Oreochromis niloticus: one gene and its partner. The protein of the gene in region 2 interacts with the protein of the main gene of each other region in a pairwise test. Links are inferred from orthologs where the notes say so. Each region holds a gene or a part of one and is shown on either strand. Other genes may lie near its edges.

The links. The genes of interacting proteins can lie anywhere in the genome.
Region 1: the proteins of stx12 (region 2) and snap29 interact in binary tests that used the Homo sapiens proteins (3 or more experiments, as listed by UniProt). The link is inferred for Oreochromis niloticus from reciprocal best matches to the Homo sapiens genes STX12 and SNAP29.

The regions. Positions count from the first base shown.
Region 1 is NC_031977.2:26,077,469-26,084,479, reverse strand, and holds the start of snap29 (synaptosomal-associated protein 29), read left to right. Parts: upstream 1-3,905; 5' UTR 3,906-4,044; intron 4,045-4,125; exon of another isoform or gene 4,126-4,287; intron 4,288-5,613; coding exon 5,614-5,850; intron 5,851-5,989; coding exon 5,990-6,183; intron 6,184-6,513; coding exon 6,514-6,599; intron 6,600-6,683; coding exon 6,684-6,788; intron 6,789-6,882; coding exon 6,883-7,011. Other genes in the region: pi4kab (phosphatidylinositol 4-kinase, catalytic, alpha b), read right to left, coding at 51-117, 280-542, 628-700, 802-890, 1,199-1,292, 1,870-1,986, 3,571-3,768. UniProt on the Homo sapiens protein: SNAREs, soluble N-ethylmaleimide-sensitive factor-attachment protein receptors, are essential proteins for fusion of cellular membranes.
Region 2 is NC_031985.2:38,176,107-38,183,086, reverse strand, and holds the start of stx12 (syntaxin-12), read left to right. Parts: upstream 1-3,895; 5' UTR 3,896-4,052; intron 4,053-4,535; 5' UTR 4,536-4,568; coding exon 4,569-4,665; intron 4,666-6,100; coding exon 6,101-6,170; intron 6,171-6,348; coding exon 6,349-6,448; intron 6,449-6,980. Other genes in the region: si:ch211-57n23.4 (immunoglobulin superfamily DCC subclass member 3), read right to left, coding at 2,593-2,641. UniProt on the Homo sapiens protein: SNARE promoting fusion of transport vesicles with target membranes. Together with SNARE STX6, promotes movement of vesicles from endosomes to the cell membrane, and may therefore function in the endocytic recycling pathway.

The DNA.
Region 1 (7,011 bases), on a different chromosome or scaffold from region 2:
AAACTAAGACACAATTATTTTTAAAGTAACTTCTGTTTCTTCAGTTTTACCTTCCAAGTAATGTGGACTAGGAGTTGTAGGAGAGCAGGGTGAGTGGCCTCCTGGATCTGTACTGATCTGTTTGAAAGCACATTACACAACTTTAATGGGTAACGAAACATACCAACATCATTGAATAATATAAATTAACAAAGCAAATAAAACTATTATTGCTCTGGATTCTCCCCTAATTATCCTGAACAAGCAAAACACGTCTTGAATCCGGCAACATGTACCGACCTGTGCAGATGAATCTAGGTTGGTCCCGGTGCGTCTGCGCAGAGTATCACTCTGGCACACTGTAAGCAGTGAGGACGGTAGAATAGAACGAAAGTCATTGAAGGATCTGCGCCGTACACCCTCTGTTTCCTCTGTAACGCATCGTGCCTGAGGAGAATCTTTGGGGAACAACTTGGATAACAGAGCTTCATCTGTGTGGCTGTAGCGGCCAAATGCCCGAGTCATGCCAAGCAGGCTGGGAACAATATACTTGCACAGGAAGACTGCAGACAAAAAAGAGCAGCGTTAAGGTTCTTTTTTTTGTTTTAAAAGCAAAAGTCAGAATGTTTGTTGCATTTCTATCTATACCTTTGTCATGATTATCCGGTGTTTGGCACATATCCTGTAACGCCTGCATGACCTCCATTATAGTGTTTAAGATCTATAGGGAAAACAGTGCAAAAACAGTGAGTTAGCACTTCAATGCAATGCACCCCAACCCTGAGAATAATATAACGATTTATCACCACTTTTTAAACAGACCTCTTGTCTTGAGTCTGGATCCCTCTGAGCCACATCTGACAGAAGAGTCACTAGACAGAAGCTGAAGTTTTCTGCTACAGGGAGAAATTCTGAGGAGCAGAAAGTTACACAGATACAGTTGAATTGAATGCCTCATAAGGTTGAACAAAAGAAAAGAAATAATGATAAGCAGATTTGCCAAAAATGTAAACATCAGATACAGAGCAACACAGCATTAAGTGGAACAGAAGCAGCAGTTCACAATATGCAATTCAAGTATAAATTAACCCATCTGTCCAGTGTAATACATCTCAATACAGTACAATTAATTAATAAGAATTGCTAGAAATTCTACTGCCACAAGTAAAAGGAGTCTATTGTAAAACTAAAAGCCTCACTATAAGAGGATTCTTCTTACCCTTTCCTTTCTTTCCTGAGCTTTCTTCGATCCATTGGACCCGTGGCAGCCCTCTCAGTAGGCTCAGCAAGTAAGAAACAAGTATGTCTTTGTGCTGCAGGAGTAAAACAAATCATTACACACCACAAACAAGTGGACTCGGCAGCATAAAATCAGCACTTTTGCATGCCTGACAAGCACTGACGGATCAAAACAACGAGGTTATCTCACACAAGCAAATCTGGGTCAAAGAAAGTGTATCACAGCTTTAAAAATAAAAGTAAGGCATCCAGCACTATGCTGTCAGACAGAAAGGAAGCTTTCCCAACTGTGTCTAAGTGTGATGAGGTTAGCGGCTTACACGGCTAACTGCATGTCTAATCGCCAGCTTAATCAGATTATGAGAATAAGCTTATCACAGGGATACATGTAGAGTCCGAGGAGAGCGCAGGAGCAAACGTGGACTAATAGTTCTAATACAATATTACAATTACTATACCTGTGAAACAGAGTTTGATAAGCAGTTAGGAAAATAGAAAATTGGTATTGTGTCAATATGCAATGCCAATACTTCACTATCTAATGACCTAAACTATGAAATCTTAAATCTACTGTATTACCATAACAGCTTGAAGTAAAATGAAAATACTGTATTCAAAACACTCCTCAGCCTTTTACTGACAACCACCCACCTGTAAGCCAGATTCCACCAAAAACACAGCCAGTGCAATAACAGCATCTCTGCGACGCACATCCAGAGTGAACACACCACGGACTTCCACTGGACACATACATTGCAGCTTCTGGACCTAAAAGGCCAAAAAAGAATATTAAAGTAACAGTCCAGGCTGGTAATATTCACACATTAAGCTGATTTATCTCACTTGACAGCCCAGTGTGTTTGTGTCACACAGCATATGAAAACATAACACTACAGCATTAGACAATATGTCAAGTGTTAAAAACTGTTTGTATAGAAGCTTGTTTCTGCTACTGAAAAACAAGCATGTGTTACCATCCATAAGTCAAAATTTGGGGGTTATTTTCTCAAGTATTACCCTTAATAACTTGAAATTTCAAGTCATTTTCTAATAAGTATGAGTTACTAAGTAAAAGTTTTGAGATAATTACCAAAAGTTTTGAATTACAGATAGCAAAATACTTTTTTTCAGTTGTGGAAGCAAACTTCCAGATGTTTCAGAGTGAGTGTATGTTCAAATGAAAGTAATATTTGTTAAGACTTGCACTGTTCAATTAAATTCAACAACACTAATAGAGAGAAATCCCCAACAATCAGACAACCCTCCCTTATGAGCAAGCACTTGGCGAAAGCAGCTAGGAAAAACTCCCTTTTAACAAAAATAAACCTCAAGGAAAACCAGACTCTGGGAAGGGCAGCCATCTGCCAAGACAGCTTGGGGGTGGGGGGTGGGAAACAGGACATAAGACACTGTGGAAGAGAGCCAGGGCTTAATAATAACTAAGGGTTAAAAGTAAAGTGAGATATAAACACAGGGACAGTGAAAAGAAAAAGAAGAAGAAACATGGTGCATCATGAGAAGCCTCCAGCACCTTGCCCTATTACAGCTTAACTAAGGGATGGCTCAGGGTCACCTGATCATCTACCCGATGACATCTGGAATCTGTACACTTTTATGCACACTGTGTAACCCAGCAAGCCAGAGATATTAAGATACATGCATTTATGATATCAGATAAACTGCTAGGCAGTTTCCTCCCTACAGCTCAAACACACAGTAGAACTGGGAATTACATAACATAACCCATAATAGCCCTTAAAGTTACAACACTTGGTGACAGCTTATTGATAATGGCTTCATATGTTCCCCTCTAATACCCTTTACTTTCATTTACAAAATGTACCCATTGTGTTTTGTTTTGTTTTTTTAAAAACCTTTCCTATATTGGCAAGACCCAACTATCAATCTGCAACAGGTTTCCAACTATATAACACATGTAGGCGGATTTTGATAGCAGTAAAGACAAACAGAGCAGCCTGTGAATGAACTCCTGTCTCAAACATTTCTCTGTAAACCTGTTTGACTGCAGTGCCGATCAAGCTTGACCGCTCTGTCCGTCCGATGCAGTAACAGGCACCACACAGCAACGCCACTTTCCTCTGCACTGCCCACTTTTCTGCTTCAGGGTTTTGGACACCACGGCTCGCGTTTTAGAGATTTCTAACCACGGAGTCGCGCACACAAACATACAAACATAACTGTTAAATGTTAGCTTGGTTGTCATGTCGTTGATCAAAATAAGCCACCGCCTGTGCGGAAGCGCAGCTACACCCTGAACAACCCTGCCACTGCTTCTAATTACTAACATGGTTAATTATTGCGTGTTTTTGGAGCTCAAGCTTGTTTTCTCACCTTTTCGACCGGTGCGGGGCGGTGTGCGGCCAATGAGCGGGCCAGCGACAGGACTGTATTAAAATAAAACCCCCTCGTACCACCTCCCATTACGGACATGTTTACCCCTACATTAAACCAGCGCAATTCATCGCTGAGAGGAAACAAGCGAGCGGGGCTGCCTGGGAAAGCCGCAGTACGGCAACTCAGCAGGGACATTTCTAACAGGGGCTCTTCGTTACCGTAGCAACTCACTCACAAAGGGCTTGAAATAGATCAAATTAAGCAAATGTATGGATTGTATTTATATTATTTACATTACAACCTGCGTGGGTTTTTATCAGTAAGTAACCCCAATATCGCCGTGGTGTGCGTTTCCTTTACGCAAGATCAGCTGTCGCGACAGTGTGTGTGCAACGTCATCAAACGCGATAGGAAGAGTTCAGTCAGCTGATAGAGCAACAACAGCGTCTGCCACGGCTCCTGTGGTCAAAGGTTCGTCTGTTAAGTTAATCGTTCTTTTTTGTGTCTTTTTTTTTTTTTTTTTACACTTTCGTTTTAGACAGCATTTGTTCAATAAGAGAAAATTGCCTGTGGTGACGCTTGCGGATGTGGTCGTTTTAGTTGACTGGCAGTTAAGCTAACAGTTGACTAGCAAACCAACACCCCGGCGATACATCAAACATTTCTTGACTTGCAATACTGTTTTATTTTTCTCCTCTTAATATAACACAGCAGGTATTGTTGCAGATGATTAATGTGAAATATGTTGACAAGCCTAACTGTTGCTCGAATTACTTGTTGGACAACGTTGAAGTTAGCCGAAGCTAACACGCTGGAGCTTTCGTAATCGCACGAGTTCAGACAAGTTTCGAAATGAACAATTAACCTTCTTTTATCAACAAAAACTTATTGTTGTAATGAAACTAATTATTATCTAAATAGCAGATGTATTATGTTACGCATCGTTTAATTACCGGTATTCAGCTATCCGATCCCAAAATATAGTACATAACTTTTCTTCCCGACGAGGTGCGATCTATCCATCGATCTATCCATTTTCCTCCGCTTATTCAGTTCATGGAATTCAACATGTTGTGCCAAAGAGTGGACTTAAAACTACTTGGTAATCAAAATATTACCAAAACAATTAGCTTCGAAAGCTGGCTTAAAAAGCAGGAGCAGTGTCCTGTGTGTTAGCTCTGCATTTCTCCCTATGACTCGTGAGATGGGTTCCAGTCTAACGCATGACCCTGAATTGGATAACCAGAAGAAAATGGATGGAATGGCTAGATATGTGTGCAGATGCCTGTGCTTAACTGAGCCTGGTTCTGCCGGAGGTCTCTTCCAGTAAAAGTTGAGGGCAGGGGAGAGGAGGGGATCCCCTCTGCTTACACGGAGGGGATCCCCTCTGCTTACACAGAGGGGATAATTTGGGTTATCTCTCTGCTATTATAGGCTTTACCTTTCAATGTAAAGCACCTTGAGACAACTGTTGCTTTTGCGAAATTAGTTGAAGTCACAATAAACAACACTCAGACTGTTTGAAGGATTTAATCAGTGAATAAGTGAATTTAAAAGATTATCAAGTCTTGGGAGACAACGTTTAAGAGGCGTGGTTGAGATGGTTTGGATATGTGCAGAGGAGGGATATTAGATCCATTGGACAAAGCATGTTAAAGATGAAGCTGACAGGCAAGAGGAAAAACAAGAAGACCACAGAGAAGATTCATGGATATAGCGAAGGAGGACATGCAGAGGGTTTATGTGGCAGAAGAGGATGCCAGGGAGAGGGTCAGATTGTGGCAGATAATCTGTTTAGGGAACCCATAAAGGGAGCAGCTGAAAAAAGCCAAAGATCATCAAGACTGGAACCAAATATCTAATCTTTTATTAACCTGTTTATAGTTTTATTGTGTTCCAAGAAGTTGTTTTAGTTTTAAGCAATCTAAAATCCATTATTTACAGGTAACAAAAACATGTAACTTGATGATCATGTGATACAGTTGAAAGGCTTATAGTCCTTTAGCTAAAATTACCAAAACATTCGTTTTTGCTCCACAGATGGCCTACCCTAAATCCCACAACCCGTTTGCAGATGATGACGAGGAGGAGGATTTCAAGCCTAAAAGTAGGGGGTTTGACGACGAGCCAAGTGACAGCGGGTTGAGTGAAGCAGAGAGGAGGCAGAGATGTCTCCAGCAGGAAGTGATGCGTACAGCGCAGTCTGCTGTGGATAGCAGTTACCGCTCACTTTCCCTCATCTATGAATCAGAGAAGATGGGTGTGGAAACTGCAGAGGTATCTTAAATGAATAAGGTTCACACTACTGTACAAAGAATTGACACTGTCTTTGAAAAGGCGACAATCAACAAAGAGTTATTTTTAAAGGCCCCGTCTTCCCATACCTCATCCTGAATTAGTCCCTTCTTGTCTACAGGAGCTGATGCGACAGGGTGAGGCTATAAAGAGGACAGACAAGATGCTGGATAACATGGATCAAGACCTGAAGACCAGTCAAAGGCACATTAACAGTATTAAGAGTGTGTGGGGCGGCCTTGTCAATTATTTTAAGGGAACGCCAGAGACAAAGCCACCACCTGAGCAGCCAAAGGGCTACAAGGCCAGTGAAAGGTAAGTTTGTTTTTATTCTCTGTGTCAGTGAGGTGTGGTAGCATCATCCAGTTTTAATTTCTGCATGTTTTAACTCCTTAACAAATCAAAGAGTTCTGTGATATAGAGGAGTTTCAATATATTAAAGTTTGATATGCTGTTATGTGTAGGGGCAAGTTATCATATTTTACAACAAAGCATTAAAACAGTTACTCTGAATTTGTGTTAAAGTAATGTTAACTTCTTTTAGAAGTTCAGGTAATTCATTTTTGTTTTTTACTTTCATGCGTACAACTTGTTATTGACCGTCTCTCCCTAAATGTTTGAACAATTCTTATCTGACTTTCTCAGATTACAGACTGCCTTGGCCAGCAGCAGAGAAAATGAAGATAAGTACCAAGCTAGCCACCCCAACCTAAGAAAACTGGATACGGGAGGTAAGTGTTGGAACAAGAACCTCAACATTACGCTATCTTCCCACCACTTACTGGCTCTCACTATTTCTTATTTCATTGTTTTAGGATTTGGAGCTACTGCATCAATAGATGATGGCTCATCTCAACAGAATGGATACCCTAAGAACATATACCTGAAGGAGGCTCACCAGACTCTTGACAAAAATTTAGGTAGGGAAATGCTGCACTTATTTAGTTACATAACATGTTTTTATATAAAGTTTGTCTGCTGTAATTGAACTGATGTCTTTTGTGAATGTCTTAGATGAGATGTGTGTAGGCTTGGGTAGACTGAAGAATCTTGGACTTGGTCTGCAGTCTGAAATTGATGGGCAGGACGACTCCATTGATGCTCTGCTAAATAAAGTGGACAAAATGGATACAAAGATCCACA
Region 2 (6,980 bases):
TGAGTCTGTGTGAATGACACGTGGTGTAGTAAGAGCTTTGAGTGCTGAAGTACCAAAGTGAGATATAAGGACCATTTACCAAAATCAGCAACACCGGAAGACTTAAACGAGCAGAGGAGGCAGCTAAAGAGTATGATCACAGAGTAAGTGTTTCCACAGTTCAGCAAAACAGCCTCACAACATTTAACCAAGTGAGGATCGATGTCGAGGTCGTGAATCAAAATGTTCTCGCATAACGAGACCTCAGTGGAGTCCTTAAACTCCACTCAGTGTACATTTATGTGACATGAAAACTGTCTAAACAGTACAGTGGATTTCAAAGTTAGCATCAGATTATCTACATATTTCTTAACCTGCTGAGGTTACCTATGTGCAGCCTGATCCTGGCCTCTTGGCCTGGGGGCTCTGCATTCAAGGGGTCGATTTTTAATAGGAAGTCAATCAATAAGCTTCAGCTTGTAGTCACATTTGATAAGGTTTGTGTTCACACATGAAGGCTGCAGTAAGCTTTGTTTATTCCAACACAACAGTGCTCATCCACAGTCAGACTGAAGCCTACATGATGATGATGATGATGATGCATCTCTATAAAATAAATGCATTCTTTAATTTGAAATCAGGAGACTTGAAATACTCAGGAAGCTGAATCTCCTAGTTGTCCTGCTTCGTGTTATAAACATGACACAAACAAACAGAAACTGGAATGCAGTGACGTGTTTCAGCTTCAGCAGCTTCATTCAATCACATCGGTGGATATCTTCCAAAATAATTGTGTTTTCAGACAGGAAGAGATATTTTACTGTGAAAGGGAGGATTAACTGTATAATGAGGGGTACCTGTGAAATCCATCATCTGTGCTGAAAACATCAGCAGCAGGTCTGATCCAGGAGCAGCGCGACAGAGACGAGGGACCGAAGCTTTTTAAAACCTTATTATGGTCCAAAGTCAGACAGGCTTTTAACTGAAGCTGTAAATGAAGCTGACTGTGATCCTGTTTCATGTCATCATGCACAGATACACGACCTGCTGGTAGAAAGAGTTTGTCTGACCTCTGTGCTCGTTACAAGCAGCACCGTGTTTCACAGCTACACCTTCTCAAACAGCGATGCTGAAGCTGAAAGACGGCTTTGCAGCGTTTTATCTGCTGTCTCTGATACTAAGTGGCACAGCTGTGATACTCTTCCAGCATAGAAATATGTAAAACAATTAACAGGCCAACTAGTAAATGAGAGTAACTGGGCCCATGAAGGCATTCGTTCACGGTGGCAGGGCACACTGTGGTGCTGTAAACATTAGCCTGAGCTCTCCACAGATTGAGATGTTAGCTTTTGTATGTTTCACTGCAGGAAACAGAGCCACCGGAGACCCATTGTTGTGGATTAAACCAGTGGGATGAACGGAGGAGCGTGAGGGGGAGGGTGGTGGAGGGCATGGTCACAGGCAGCTGGAGGAGGATTACCTTATAGTCACATATCTTTAATAAAGGCTCAATGTGAGCACAGACTGCTGCAGTGTTATGGAGATGAAGGTGTAAGGGTGAGGTCAGTGAAGACTGAGCACCCCCACAGACTTCTCTGGTGACCCTGAAAGCCGACCCCCTCCACAGGGTCAGAGGTCACTGACTCTCAGCTCATTCTGTGCTCTGAGTTAAGGACAGAAAACAAACTGTTTTAAACCTGCTGTGCTTTTCCCAAAAACAAACTTTTTCTGTCTCCAGCTCTGCTGCTCGCTCGGCGGGGTTACTACATCATGACCTAAATATAAATGAAAACTGCATTTTTTCTTTTAGATTTTCAGTTTTATTTGAAATCCTATTTTGAATGTGTAGAAATACAGTTATGTGAAATGTATGTGCTGTGAATACAAAGAGCCTTGCTTAGGCTAATGTTTGTTTGTGGAATATTAACAGTCACCACCCATATTACTCCGTAGAGTGGAGAGGAACCCCAATAATTCACCCCCACCCCCACCAAACTAATATCCATTCAACGCTGAACCATCAGCATTGAAAATGTGTGGGTGGGAGGAAAATTGGAATAATGGTCACTGAATTTACATCAAGTCTGAAACAGGTTTAGTTATATCATCGGTATATTATCGTCAGACAGGCTGGGCTCTTGTTCCAAAACGATAAAGATATTCACTGTCAGTGAGATCTGCACATGGTGTCAGAGTAAGAGATGGATAAACATCTGCAGTGAGAAATAAAGGTTATTAATATTGTGATGTTTTATAAAATGCTGTTGCTCTTTTGGATGAACTCACTTCCACACTCACCAGCTTTGAGTGGGATAATTCTGTTTCTACACCGTGTGACTCTCGTGTACACGTACAAACAAGACAAAACTCATGTCCACCTGCAGCCTGTGCAGGTCAAAACACACGAGGCCTGGTCTTTATGAAACTTAAGGACAAACAAACAGCAGCACTTACCGAGGAGTAGTTTTGTTTATCAAATGACAAAATGTTCTGCCCATTAATCAACACTGAACTGAACTAATATCAGTCTAGAAACTCATAGGAGGACAGAGCAGCAATCACACCATAATGTGTGAATATCTGCCAGTGCAGGTGAAGGCGAGGTCTACTTACTGAAACTGTAGAAGGCTGTGAGCCAGCTGAGGAAGGTTACTAGTTTCATTTTGGTCTCCAGCGTCCTCGCTGTTAAAGCTTCTCAACCCGCAAAACCCCAAAATCCAAAAGAGGAAAAAAGTCAAACGGACAGCCAGTTTCTTCTGTGCTCTCCTGCTGCGTGTCTTCTTTGGTAGGACAGCATAAACGGACACTTTCTGTGTCAGATCATTGCTCCTCTTCTGTCCTTCTCAGCATTCAGCCTCCACAAGGTTCATGTTCAAAGCTGCTCTGAGCATCGAGCGAGGAAGAGACCTCAGTGTGGACAGAGCTCATTAGTTATTCTGCTTCATTGTTGTCAGTGAATGGACACTGACACAGAGGTTTGTGGCAGGTTTGCGTCCTACCAACCAATCACAGCCCCAGAGCAACATAAGGGTGGTAGCTCAGCCCGGGAGCCATGATTGATAATCATTTAAAGAGAGGTCTTCTGGTTGGCCGCTGCCTGATGGACCAGCTGTGGCCTGAGCCCGAAACCCCTCGCAGGCTGGCTGGAGTTGTGATCCTGGGATACTTCCACCAGGCATAAAGAATCCAAGTGGAAAATACTCTGGATTCACAGGAAATCCAGTTTGGATTCAGGAGGGTTACATCGAAATATTCCTTAGCTATGCTGCAATAGGTCATTAGGGCTTTCCATGAGTGTTTCTTCTTCACTTACCTTTTTCATGTGTTTATAGACCACTCTGCATTTCATCATGCTGTTGAGATTTGGCACTGTATAAATAAAACTGGACTGAATTCAGCTGAACTTGTGAAAACATGAAACAAACACCTAAGCTGAGGCAAGTGAGGCCTGGTGTTTGTTCCTTTCATGAGTAATTATGGTAGGCCAGTATTTAAAAATAGTGTGCTGTATTTAGTCTACTTATACTTGTCTGACATTAACATTTGTTTGGTGATATGAAACATTTAAGTTGAACAGATAACTGTTTGTTCTGGAGAGAAGAGGAATGAAAGTCAGTAGAAGCAAGACAGAATACTTGTGTGGGTGAGAGGGAGACAGGTGAACAATCAAGAAATACAGGGAGTGAAGGTGGTTTAAATACCTCAGGTCAACCATCCACAGCAACAGACAGCGCACAAGAGAGGTGAAGAAGAGAGTGCAGGCGGGTGGAGTGGGTGGAGGGGTTATTTGTAGTGAGCCCTACTATGATGGGTGGTTTAGCAGAGGTGGCAAAAGTACACCATTCTTTACTTAAGTAGTTAAGACAGACTAATTTGCTTGATGAGGGAAAGTTTGGGCCACACTCCACTCCAGTTGGTGGCGCTAATGCACCATTTCGCTGTTTGCAACCTCCAATAAATGCCAAGAAGAAGAAGAAGTGACGCAGTGATATCACGGACCAGGAAGAGCAGCGTATTTACTACAGGACGAGAAGCTTTACCAACCTATGTGTTCGTTTCAGACAGCTTCATAAGTAAGTATGGGCTGGTTTCTTTTCCACGGTAAACGCCAGCCTCAGCGACGCCATGTTGTTTCTTTGTCTTATTCATCACACTGTGTTACCGGAAACAACCAACAGCTGACAGATTAGTGTCCCGAAGCTAGGAAGCGAGGAGCCGAGCCCGTCCAGCAGCCTGCAACACCCGGGAGATAAACAGAAAAAGCCCGACGAGGTCGCTGGCTTGGTGATTTAGGAACACACCAAATTAATAAGAGCTTACGTTCCCAAATATGGCTGCGCGTCGGCTGGCACACGCCCAGATAAACTAGCTAACTCGTTAGCAAGCTAACAGCTGTTGTTCCGACTAAGTGCCATTATTTTCAGCTCCGGTCTGCCGTCAATAACTGTACCCGGACTTTGAGACATGCAGCTGTACAAACCCCAGAACCGCACCGAGGAGCTGTCATACAGTGAAACCGAATCGGTGCTTTCTGATCCCTCTCTTTTTCTCTGCAGCCAAAGCTTAAGGTCCAAGGCTCCATCACAAACATGTCCTATGGTAAAGCAGAGAGCCGCTCGGTCCCACGGGACTTCGGCACCCTGATACAGACATGCAGCTCCAACATCCAGAAGATCACACAGAACAGTAAGTGCTTCACTTCCTTTGAAACGGCAGTGTGATGTGGCTGTACTCTGTAACAGCGAAAGGGTCCCATATAAGAAGACCGGTGTTTCTGAGGTGGGGGGTGTTTAACTGTAGTAGTAAAAAAGCATAAATAACTGGTCTCCGAGCACGCTGAGAGCCAGAGCTGTGCAGAGAATACCATTATTTTTATCATGGTGCAACCGACACAGCGAAGGTGAGACAAAATTAATGACAGTGTTTTCCAAACGTCTTCTTTTGCTGCTGGTTCAGATAATTTTGGTCAGTGAGACATGAAACCTGCAGATTCAGAATCTGTGACATTTCCAGCTGTGTGTCCGTGTACAGATGTGGCCCACGGGCCATACGTTTGACACCCCTGCTCGAGGCTTTTTAAATGCCAACTTGTTTTTAGACCAAAGATTTTCTTGTTCTTACAGCTCACGTGTTTGTTACAGTTGTTTGTTGTTTTATTGGTTTACTATTGTGGCTTTCACTTCAGCTTTTTCCACAGTACTGTGCAGTAGCAGAAATTTCTATTAGTGTTCTCTCCAGTGTGTAACACTGTTAAGACATCCAAACTATGACACAATATTTATGTTGTGAGAAAGAATGACACCAAAGCTGGATTTGTGTTGAGTTTCAAAGGAGCTTATTTACCTGTAACAGCCTCACATACGTTATTCTCTCATCCAGCTTCATTAGGCCCTCTCCTAGAGCACTTCATCAAGTGTTCGAGGCTTTTTTTCTTTATTGCCACTGTGTAAACAGATTATAACTCAAGTAAAAAAGTGGCACCTTCCTCGACACTTCCTGTCGCCTTTAACAGGGTGTGGACTGAGTCATATGTGAAAGCTGCAGCAGGATTTTCATTGAATATGAATACATGTTCATGCCCACAATGTCCGACTGCATGTTGATTGTAATATTTTTGGGAAAGATTTACAAAAGTATTGCAAGCAATAAATTGTATGACCTGTTTACCCACAAAGTCTGCACACAAGCGAAAAATGAACAGTTTCTCAAATTAAGGCGTGTCCTTTCTGTGAGAGGCTTTAAGCAGTGACCCGGCCAGGACAACAAATACAAACACAGAATCACCCAGATACACCTGAAAAACTGTACAAGCGATTGAACACAACAGCCAGATCATCACTGGGTACTTTTCACTTCCTTATATCGTTGTTTATGTGTATGTTCTGAAATCCCTCAGCTTCTGTTTCAGGTCACACTGATGATGATGATGATGATGATGATGGCTCATAGCAAACACACGTGTCTGACACAAATGTGAACATTAAGAAGCAGCATCAAACTGTGATGACTACAGATGATGTCATCTCTGTATAACTACCAGGAACAAAGTGCAGCTTCTTTCTTGTGTCACTTGTATATTTTTCTTCCAAAACTGAGTGCTATCATTGTGTTCCCATGGCAGCGGCTCAGATAAAGACCATGGTGAACCAGCTGGGGACCAGACAGGACACCAGTGAACTGCAGGATCGGCTGTATGTACCGATATCATCTCCTCTGCTAAACAAACACACTTTCAGTCACCTTCACTTTCTCAGAGCCAGCGCTGCCACGCTGTAGCGACTCTGTTGAACTGTCCTATAAGAAATGTATTTGTGTAATTATTAGAAGGTCTTATGGTCTGTCTGCTGTTTGAACTGTTGGTGTTCACAGGCAGCAGACACAACACTACACCAACCAACTGGCAAAAGAAACCAACAAACACCTGAAAGAGCTGGGATCAATCCCTCTGCCCTCATCGCCTTCAGAGCAAGTAAGTACTCGTTTACATGTCCTAATGAAAGTAGCACTGTACTGATTCTTCTATAGCTTACAGTCACAGCACTTTCTACAACATGCCTCATTCACCCATCCAAAGTTCCCACTGCTCCTCCTCCTGAGCTACAGCCACCTAACAATGGATGATGTCAAACTGTAAGATAAATATGCACACTAAGTTTGAAAGTGTGACTATGGAGCCTGTTCTTACAGCACAGGCTGAGTGATGCTGACAGACCCACTTGGTTTAATTGGAATTTCATTCAGCCAACATTGTGGCTCAGGACACACACACACACACACACTCAGGACACAGTGTGTACAGTATGTCATCATTCGTTGACATTTCATGTGTGGTGAAGGAAAAATTACTTTGAGACAACTGCAGAGTTTAGCTTAACAAATGGACACATACAGCTGAGATATTTTTGCTTTCAAAATCAGGATATTTTACTGCTGACTTTTCCAGTCTTCTACTGTCTCTCCGAAGCTTTGCAATAAAAACTCTGGTGCTGCACGTGGTGCTT